Linked DNA regions of Mus musculus: regions 2 and 3 are each reported to be linked to region 1. The links are microRNA targets in miRTarBase. Many come from high-throughput screens and were not tested one by one. Region 1 holds a microRNA gene; each other region holds the end of a gene's coding sequence.

Region 1 (4,431 bases):
TAGGATCAATTCTTTCCCATTTAAAAATCTGAACGAAGATTTGATTCCTCAATGTGCGTTCATCTACCACAAATATTACTGCTCATAGCATCCGCCACTACTGAAGCTGCCCCTTGCGGCTGCCATGTCTACAGAGTACTGTTTCCCCAGGTCAAATGTCGCAGCTCAAATGTTGTCAAGAAAATTGGATTCTTCTGCCAATTTGTAGTCAATTGAACACATTTTCCTCCAAGCTATTCTGGTAGTTTGTGGTGTTATTTTGTGATTATTTTATCACTATTATTTAATGTAAACGGGATGAAATGCTGGTCGCCTCTATTCATTTCCTAACCCATCCAAAAATGGAGAACAAGGTTTGGTGAGCGATGAGGACGAAAGAGAAACAGACAGAGGTGTGTTGAGGGGGTGGGGTGGGAGGGGGGAAAAACAGATGGTATGTGAGCACTCCTGACCCAGTGAGTTGAGGAGAGGAAGGGGGTGGGGAGGGAAGGCTGCCATTGTCCTTGACACTGTCAAAGGACAGAGTTCATTTTGTCAAGGTATCTTCAGAGTAGAGATAGAACAGCGAGTGTGTCTGCAACTAGGGGGGCTAGGTGCTGGTGTGACAAAGAGGATTCAGGCTGAGAAGAGTCAGGGAGTAGATATTGGCATCTCTCCATTGGTTCCTGGGACTACATGTCTGGTCACGTGGCGTTCTGAGCCACACCCCTTCCTGACCATCCCCATATCCACACCTTCCATTCTAGCACATGACATTTGCAGAGACCCCAGAACTTTGTAACGTGTCCCCAATGCCACCCCAAGCAGGCTTTGATACTCAAACAAAAGTTGCCTTTGTGTGATTCAACATCAATAAAGCGAATTCACCAAGGGCAACCTCTGCTCAAGAATCAAACGTCAGCACAGGCCGAGAGTTGAGCAGGGCGCCTCTTCCCCAGGCAGCCCTGCCTCCCTCGGCTCTGGCTCCCTGACTCCCACCCTCTAGGGAGGCTGGCATTACCTCCGATGAGCCCCCAGGTCCAACTGCAAAGCAGACTAGCAATGGACTGACTTGCAGAGTTCTCTCCTGCCTACAGGTGGCCAGAGACTTGTACAGACATCCAGGCTTTGGCCAGAAACTGGTCACTCACCCAGAAGCACACGGACACCAAGTCTGAATCCCAAAGTGTTTCTCCTAGAGAAGTCCTGAGGTAGGTTTGACATAGAAGAAACCATGACTCTCTGTGTAGTAGGGTCCATCCTGCCCACCAATGAAGGCTGACCTAAAAGAGGATAACTCCCTTTCCAAGGCAGTATCCTGAGAGACCGCACAGACAAACCAGCAGCATCAGGGTACAAGGTGTCTGCACCGTCCTCTATTCTCTCTGGCTTCTGAGAGGCCTCAAAGAGGGTTCAACAAAGAAAACATGTCCAACTGCCATTCACTCAGCATCATTCGTCCTGTGTGCACCTACGAGCATTAGATGGGGTTTCTGAGCTCAAGGAACCTGTGTTCTAGAGGGTGGGAAGAGATCCACAGAGTAAGGACATTCATGCAACAACTATCATTATAAAAGCCAATGGTTTTCCAACTTTCTGGGGGAAACCAGGCACTCTCAAAATACTGAACACACATTCAGCGTGAATACATACCTTATAAGCAGCCATTAACACTCTCAGACAGACAAACGGAGGCACAGACAGGTGACAGGCTGACTCATTCAAGGTCACACCATTAGCAAGCATCGGGTGGTAATGAATGCTGCTGGGTTCTCTCCTTCCCAAGGGACACTGGAGCAGGGAAAGGACATCAGCATTCTCATGTCACTAAATGTCACTGTGAGCCACCTCTCCCCATTCACCAGCCTGACATCTGGTTCTACTTCTTAGAGATCTTCCCTGGACTGGTGAAACTGGTAAGGAATGAGTAACTGAGTGGCTTGTAGCTAGCCCCACCCCACTGGTGACTGACATTTGCTCTTCCCTACAGCATGCCTAACACTGTGATGTTTTCTCATCTGAATACAGTGCTTGACACAATGCACTATGCTCTTGATAGCCATGGCCAAACAACGATAGAGTCACCGAAATAGTTGGTGTCATTTCTGGGAAATCTTACTTTGACAACCAGGTGACATAAGTCCCAGACAGCACTTAGTACAGGGAACAATTTATTTCCTTAACCCGCACAGTCGAAGAAGCTCTCCCAGGAAGATTTTAGTGCCGAAAGGAGATTGGCCATGTAATACTCATCATAAATAAAATGAACACACCATGGGCAACCTCCATTCGAACACTTGATTTCGAGAGCTTGTGTTGATACATCTCAGGCATCTGAGGATGGAGTCCCTGAGAGTTGGGCAGATGGCTACATATTCTAGCTATATGACATATGCCATGTGGCCTAGGGGTCACTTCTTGTCTCCTGCATGTGGTGGTTAGTATCACTGACCAGAAGAAGCCACAGGAGCTTGCCACGCCCACATGGATGTGTCAGTTGTGAGCAGTTGGGAAGGCTTCTTATCGGAACACCACCAGGGAACTCAACTGCCTCTTCTAGGGAGCTCAGACTACATGGCCAGAGGGGCTGATGTAGTCATCATGGTAGATGCTGTGAATGCAATTCCTAGTTCTGACCTTGACCTTTCCCTAATATGTTTGAGGGACACATTTTACACCTTAGAAGGTGGACTTTATGTGATTTGTCAAAGTAATAAAGTGGATGACTACAGAATACTCCAGATCATTCCAAAGTATGTCCCTCCCTGAGTCCACCAGAGAACCAGGGATACACTGGGCATGGACAGCATACCTCTTACTAGATCCAACCATGGTGAACCATCCCTTCACTTACCCTGGAAAGACGCTAACACCACAGTCCCACCCCAGAAATTCCTCCAAGGCGGGATTTGGTACTGAAAAATAGGTCAACCGTGTATGATTCGTCACGAATAAAGCGAAGGCAACACGGATAACCTATCTTCAAGCACCGCACGTGGGTACCAGCATCTCTTCTCTGAAGCTGGCTTCCTCCAGGAAGTCCCCCAAGCACAGTGAACACAGCAGGTTACTGCATTGACTGTGAGAGGGCTTGAGAAGGCATCACGCACCCCAGGTCCAACCCATTCCTCCCCAACCCCTGACACCCATGGTTATCTAGTCTTGGCACCACTGCCAAGGATACAGTGTCTAAGGGTCCTTACAAGGGTCTGGTGATGGAGGTCCTAGATGCACAGATTTCATCCTGTGTTCATCATAGGAGTGGAAAGTTCCTAGCTTCATACTGAGATTGAGGCAAACACCAATGACCCTCGCCTTACATAGGCTTTGTTTCTAGGGATTTCCTGAAAAGTTCACAGAGAGGCTGACTTGGCAATACTCATTATAAAGGTAAGGTCAGCACTAAATGGCACTGACACTCAAGTCATGGCCTCGTCCCTTGGGGTGAGCAAACTTTCAGGGTGTTTTCCTAATAATAGGTTGTACTTTTTAGCTTATGATCCACTGAAAATGAGACAACAAAGAAACGAACACTAAAACTTGCTTGGTTGACAGTAAGTTCACATAGCTACCTGACGACAGTGGGCCCATGTCCATCCCAAAACCTGCCTGATGATGGTGGGTTCACGTCCACTCTGGAATCTCCCAGATGGTGGGTCTCCATGTCCATCCTAGACCTTGCCCGATGACAGTGGGTCCATGTTCACCCCAGAAGCTGGCATTGCAATTAGGCATCCTGCCAAGGGGGAAAATAACAGTGGGAAAGGGGAACTGATACCTTTAATCAAATAAATTCATGATGCAAAGGATGCCAGAGAGGGATGCAGGGAAGGTGGCAGTAGGGGGCGGAGACTGACTAAAGAACTACACAGACAATTTGGATCTTTTAAGTCAAGAAAAGAACCGCAGAGAACGTCTTTTAAAGGCTACAACTAACTCTAATAAAGAAGAAATGAAAATTACAATCGAGAAAAAAAAATGATGGGAAAACACTGGCTGGGTTATCATCTGGCAAAGTCACCAGTGCCCAATAGGAAAGTCTTAGAACCCAAAAAAAAAAAAAAAAAAAAACCAAACAAACGAGGAAGGACTGTAGTTCAGACATCAGGTATCAAGCAGGCTACACTAAGGCTATGACCAGCAGACAGCAAAGGAGAAGGAACACAGGAATGCTACCCAGGTTAACCCACTGTTCAGCTAAAGGCTCAACCCAGTAACAAGACTGCATAAGGAAAGCGCCACACATGTGTAAAAACTCTGGGGAGACAGTCACCCACAGCTCAAGCTAGTCGGTGTATAATGCACAGCTACATCTGAAAGAAAGGAAGACCCTTGTGTTAAGGAAGAGAGAACTTAACTCAAAACACGCTCTCTCCCTGCCCTAGGGACCTATGGGTGGGGGCATTCTGGAGGGTTCCCAGGATATGGATTAGAGCAAGGACAGAAGCTATG
Region 2 (3,000 bases), not on the chromosome of region 1:
TTGAAGTCTCCAGCATTCTGAGAGACAGGAACCATGAGCTTTTCTTTGCTCTCACTTCTCATTGTCTCTTATAGAAGGTGAAGATGATGGACAGAGAAGCTCCACCGAACAAAGTGGAGAAGCCCAGGGAGAAGCAGCCAAGTCTGAAAGCTAACACTCCATTCTGACGGTCATCAACATCTGACAATGTGGCAAATATCCTGGCGATGCTCGGATGTATTCGCAGCCACGGGTGAAACGGAGGGGAAGAAAATGGCTGCGCTGCACAGCAAGACACTGTTGGTTGCCATGTCACAAGTGGGGATGGAGCCTGTGTCTGCACACAGCCTTTTCCCCACCTCTGTCATTAGCAATGGTTGAAATCACCTGGGCTGTGCTTGGATCTCCTTCGTGTATGGGTCCTTCCACTTGACCGTATAATGAAATGCTTGTAGAGAGTAGCACTGCCTAGCTGATGATTCCTGTGGCATCTGGCCCCTCATGATGTCAGAGGATTTAATTGTGTCTAATTGAAAAGAGTTGGTTGAACCCCAGAGTTTCAGTATCTCTGGCTGGAGTATTGACTCACAAAAAGAACCATCCAGAGAGCACAGTTAGCATTATGTCCCTGTGTGTGAGTGCTGTTACTTACGCCGTTTTGTATCGTACAGTACACCTGCTCTGCACTGCCCTTTGATTGCTTACATAAAACAAAATGATGTACATGACTGTGAATTTTTATACCGCTCATTTTTTAAAGGGCTGCCTTTTTAATTTCCCATAGTGTTGTGGCGTGAACAGGGCAGAACCTTCTTTTGTAAAACACAACTTTCCTCTTGATAACTGCCGAGGGTTACATCCACTAGACTCACTGAGCCCACTTTGCTTTATTATACAGGCATGTGGAAATATCCATGAATGTGAATATTGCCTGAGTTCAGTCTTAGTATCTACACAGACCAGCGTTCTGTCTTTCAATATTGATTTTATTTCCAAATAAGTACTTTCAACTGATACTTTAATTTTTCATTATAAGAATTTTTTTAAGAATCAACAAAATAAACAAAGAATGCCAGATAATGCAAAGAGCTAGAAATGTTGTGCTGTGAGGATCACTTTTCTCACACTGCTGGGTGCCACTGTTTAACGCAGGAGGACAACTTGTGAAGGAAGTGTTTTCCTCAAAGCCTGTGGGCACCCATCTCAAAAGTAAAGCCCTTGTGCTGTGGCCCCTCTCAGCCCTTTCATACCCAAATGTTGTTATGCACTTTTTAATGTTTGTAAAATTTTACTAATAATTTGTGTGAATTGCATTCAGATATAAAAATTATCACCCAACTACACTTTTACTGATGCTGTTGATGGTCTACGCTGTGTTTTGACATCACAATTCTTGTATGGGGAGTTTCTGTGGCCTGTATAACCCTCTCTGGTCAGTATTATGAAACCAACTATCTTTGGTAATAAATGAGGATCCAGTTAGATGCCCAAGGTTCACCTGGTGCATCATAGGAGGCAAATAACAGATGAAAGAAGACTTTCTCAACAGAAGAGCCTCTAAGTGTCCTGGAGCACTAGCATAGCTACAGTTCCAGGTTAAGTAGGTAGAGGTGTTTCAACAGGCAGACCTGGGTACGGTAGGAACTCGACCTGAGTCTGTAGTTACAGACAAGGTAGACAAGGAAGTCTGCCTATATCTTCCCATAGAGTGCTTTCATTACTGACTGGGAATATATGAATCTCATTTAGTCCCCAACTGGATGTTTTCCAGAAAAACAAGCACTGTTAAGTATGCCTTTCTGGATATAGAACAGTAAATACATTCAATATGAGAGGCCTTGCTTTGATCTAAGTCATTGGAGGCTAGCTAAAATTGAAACAAATCTACCTATTGATAGACTCAAAGTTGTGAACCTATGGCCTATTTGAGACAATCTCCGATAATCTATTTACAACATCCAACAGTTTCAATGTCCTTGTTTAACTATGCTGATAGCTTTCTTGTGAATAGGAAGATCATTCTTAAAGTTGTGTAATTCCACACTGGTTTCACATGCATTTTGTAAAGTGTTGAACCAGTGCTAAGACTGTGTGGAAGGGTTATACCCCTGTGTCATATACTATTACTAATGCATGCGGTGCCATGCTTGTCTTTAAATATATAAGTAGTGCTAAATGCAGAAGTCATAGGGAGGTTCTGATTTCATTTGATTTCTTACTGCTACTTGGTGTCCTGTATTCAATCCTAGAGGGATTCTGTGGCTGGTAAGGGAAAAGAGATAAACATTCTGAATTTGTCACATCACATAAATTTTAATTGGCAAAAGTGCATAGAATCTCCTGGTTTTCATTTAATACTTATCATTTGCAAGTAAATAATACTACATAGGGAATGAATCTGTAAATGCAGATGGAAGTGTGGGCAGCCCAAGGAAAGGGGTGTTAGTTAACTACCCCAGCTAAGTCACTTCAGAACCAAATGTACCATTCAGTTTCATCTTATGCCCCTTTCACAAATTACAATGTGAACATGAATAAGGACTAATTTTTGCAAAACTAAAAAGCTAATTTGAGCCCATGTTTATCAACAGAATTTTGAATCCACATTTCATAAAATTTAAGCTAATTACACAGTGTGTTTCTCTGTATGGAAAACTATAGATAATACACTCAGTCAGCTTGCATTTTACAGAGAAAGAATTTAAGTTACTAAATAGACTAGCCTTTCTTGGGTTTGTACACATGTCTTTGGGACAAAGACACATGTGGTTGAGCCTACCTTTTTTTGTTGTTGTTGTTGTTTTAATACTCAATTATAGCTTATTTTGAATTTATTTAAGACATGTAAACTGTAAATTTACATGCTATGTTCATGCTATGTATGTGAACAAATATTCTTGCTTTTTATTTAATAACCTAGAAACACAAAATTTTCCATTTTAACACATTAACAATGAATGAGAAGCTGTAGAATTTGTTGAGCTTAACTTTTTTAAACTAAGAACATTTTATGTTAGTACA
Region 3 (3,000 bases), not on the chromosome of region 1:
TCCTTCTAATAATGATACAAGCCACTTACTATCCAGGGATAAACAGTTTCCTGCCTAAACCAATTGAGAATGAATTCTGGTTTTCTTGCAGCTAGAGTCGAAACTGATGTAGCAAGGATGCATAGGCTCAAGTGATATTTCAGTTATGTGTCAGTAAAGTGCATAATAAAACATTTGGCCTTTTAGTAAACCTTTCATATTTAATATAATAGATTTTTAATACTTAGTTTTATAAAGACAAAGTCATGTTATAACATTTAAGGTAAAAGGCATAATGCACTGGTCCAGTTTGACACAACAAAATATTTTGAATATTGTGAACAACTCATTTGCTTAACAAAGCAGCAGCTATAAAACTAGAACATGTTTTGCTTCCTTCTCCTGCAGACTCGGAAAATACATTGTTGTCTTGCTTTCATTTATAATCTTCTTGAAATTCAAAAAATCTCTTTATTTATTTTTTATTGATCAAGACTAAAATACAATATTCAGTAATCTTTACCATTTTGACTTTAAAATAATATCAAAAACTAACAACATATTCTCTTAAGAAAGTATCTGTTGTAAATACAACTGACAAAATATTCAACAAAGTGTGTATAACAGTATCTTTGTATACAAGCGCGGACCATATGTTTTTCTAGAGCTATCATCGTATAATTTAACAATCATTGCATAATGGTAGATGTGTGATGGTTCTCACATAAACTATCAACTAGGATTGAAAATTGGGACATATTTTAGCTAATCATCTCTGAGTTGAGGCAGAAAGGCTTAGTTTTCAACTATCTCTTTTAAGTAGTCATGTCCTTGAAAAGACAGCATAATCAAATCTTAAAGATGCTACCAGCATTTGACCAAATTCAACTTAGGAATTTTCTTTCTTTTTTTTTTTCCTTTGAGTTTGTTTATATAGTGGATTACATTAAGGGATTTTTTAAATTTATTTTTTTTTAATTTTAATTAGGTATTTTCTTCATTTACATTTACAATGCTATCCCAAAAGTCCCCCATACCCTCCCCCCGCCACTCCCACTTTTTGGCCCTGGTGTTCCCCTGTACTGGGGCATATAAAGTTTGCACGACCAATGGGCCTCTCTTTCTACTGATGGCCGATTAGGCCATCTCCTGATACATAGGAATTTTCAAAGACACAATTTGAGAAGTGCTTAGCTTCACTGAAAATAGTATGTGGTATGGTAACACAGTTAGGTTTTAGTCACAGTACGTTCTTGTCAAAGACTGACCATGCCAATTCTTTCCCAGAAAGGGAGACTTGTTTGGTCACCATGAAGGAAGTCTATCCTTTCATTGTTTCCCTTCTAGCCAAGTCAGAGGCTCGAAATCCAAGTCTAGTGTGAAGACAGAAGCTCCACACACTGGTTCCTGCCCCATTTCCCAAGTCAACTGCTAAATAAGTCCCTCTTCAAAAGCGGCAGAAGACAGGTCAGGTCTGCATGGATTGCTTGTTTTTGTTTGTTTGTTGTTTTGTTCTTTTGAAAGTGCTATCAGCGTCCATATATATTTAAATGGACTGCCATAGAAAAAGCATAAAGTATGTAAAAATTGCACATCTAAGTCTAACCTTTTTAGGTAGATGCTGGCAATTCTATATAGTACCCTAGTAAGTATTACATGAAGTATACTTTACATGCTTGCCAGACTAATACAGCAATTCAGTCTTAGTGAAACTCTTCCACACTACCTACTATAAATTAAAATACAATGGGTAAAAATTCAAACTACAAAGCTGGGACACAAGCAATCAGAAGCTATTCTGAAACCAAAGCAATAAACAATGCCACTCTAGAGAATTTTTATTTGTGTCTCAGTCTAACTGAAAGAGCTATATAGTTAACTAAACTGTCTTCTAACCTTTCTTTTCAAAATGCTGGCTTTATTTGATTTAAGTCTAAATCTGGTGTTGTTTTTCTTTATATCAGCCCAGAATTTAGACTTCTTGATTTGTGTTTATCAGCAACAGAGTTAGTAGCGTTAAACACCGAGTGCTCAATCCCTCGAGAGCAGAGAATGCAGAAGTTGCATGTATTACTGTAAAACCATGTATTACTGTACTGAATAAAATTACGTTTTAGAAGTAAATCTTTTAGTTATATAACTTGGAAATCAGGGCCCTAAAAGGCAACTTCCTAGATAATTAAGGCTACAGTTCTAAAGCCCAGTTTTGTAAAGTTTTTATAAGACTGGGGTCATTTGAAAAACAAGGCTTACCAATTTGCCATAACAGCATTATAATAAATATCCTACCACCTTTCAAAAGACCAGCAATCTCATGGAAACAGCAGGACAAACTTGTGACTGACTCACTAAAGTGATATGGTGGCGCCCTCTGGTGGTCCCACTGAGCATGTGACCCTGATGCTGCTTATCTTGTGACAGGGGGAGAATTTTTTAAAAGTGCATTTAATACAAAGGAATGAACCATTGTGCTTCTGAGTATCTTTTTCTTCTGCCTTGGAGCACATCAGTAATGCAACATATCCCTGAGAAGTATTCCCAGGAATCAGGCTGATAGTGCAGGAATCTTGGCAAAGCTGATGATGGCAGAGATTTACATCTTGGTTCTAGACCTTAGCTGGGAGCTTTTCGCATTTTCTAGCTTGGCTTTTAAATCTAAGGGTCTCTCAAAAAACCTCACCAAGGCTGGTTCATTTAACAGGGAAGCAAGAATCTGCTCAAATGCAAACGACCACTGATGTTCTTCCCTGGGAGAGGGAAGATCTTTCTTCACACTGCTCTCTGCATTCCCTTCACTGGGTCCAGAATCACGAGCTGTACTGGCTGATGATGCCGGGCTATGGAGTTTCCTTCCAACTTCTTCCATCCTGAGCAGAAGGTTGGTTACAATAGCAATGGCTTGATATAGCGACTCTTCTTCAGGGTCCTCATGAAATAAATTATACAGGGTCTTTGAAAATTGAATAAATTGTGACTAGAAGACACAAGTTGGAAATAGAATATTTTAACATTAAACTTAGC

The links. Region 1 holds the annotated microRNA mmu-miR-496a-3p (UGAGUAUUACAUGGCCAAUCUC, at 2,210-2,231, opposite strand). A microRNA usually pairs through its seed, bases 2 to 8, with sites in the 3' UTR of a target mRNA and lowers its output. Matches are read on the target gene's strand: a 7mer-m8 pairs with bases 2 to 8, a 7mer-A1 pairs with bases 2 to 7 and ends in A, and an 8mer does both.
Region 2: the mRNA of Pkia is a reported target of mmu-miR-496a-3p. Seed matches in the 3' UTR shown: 8mer at 2,784-2,791.
Region 3: miRTarBase lists Tbc1d8b as a target of mmu-miR-496a-3p. Seed matches in the 3' UTR shown: 7mer-A1 at 2,455-2,461.

Annotation. Positions count from the first base shown.
Region 1 is chr12:109,736,965-109,741,395 of GRCm38, reverse strand. It overlaps Mir496a (microRNA 496a), which reads right to left and starts at 2,277; the gene lies at 2,199-2,277. It overlaps Mirg (miRNA containing gene), which reads right to left. Exons shown (of 8, transcript NR_028265.1): 2 at 3,589-3,715. It overlaps Mir154 (microRNA 154), which reads right to left and starts at 2,963; the gene lies at 2,898-2,963. Mir377 (microRNA 377) reads right to left here and starts at 886; the gene lies at 819-886.
Region 2 is chr3:7,441,937-7,444,936 of GRCm38, forward strand. It overlaps Pkia (protein kinase inhibitor, alpha), which reads left to right. Exons shown (of 3, transcript NM_008862.3): 3 at 75-3,000. The coding sequence ends at 154. Among named protein-coding and RNA genes, the nearest start is that of Zc2hc1a, 60 kb to the right of the region's middle.
Region 3 is chrX:139,751,414-139,754,413 of GRCm38, reverse strand. Tbc1d8b (TBC1 domain family, member 8B) reads right to left here. Exons shown (of 21, transcript NM_001081499.2): 21 at 196-2,953. The coding sequence ends at 2,573. Among named protein-coding and RNA genes, the nearest start is that of Ripply1, 29 kb to the left of the region's middle.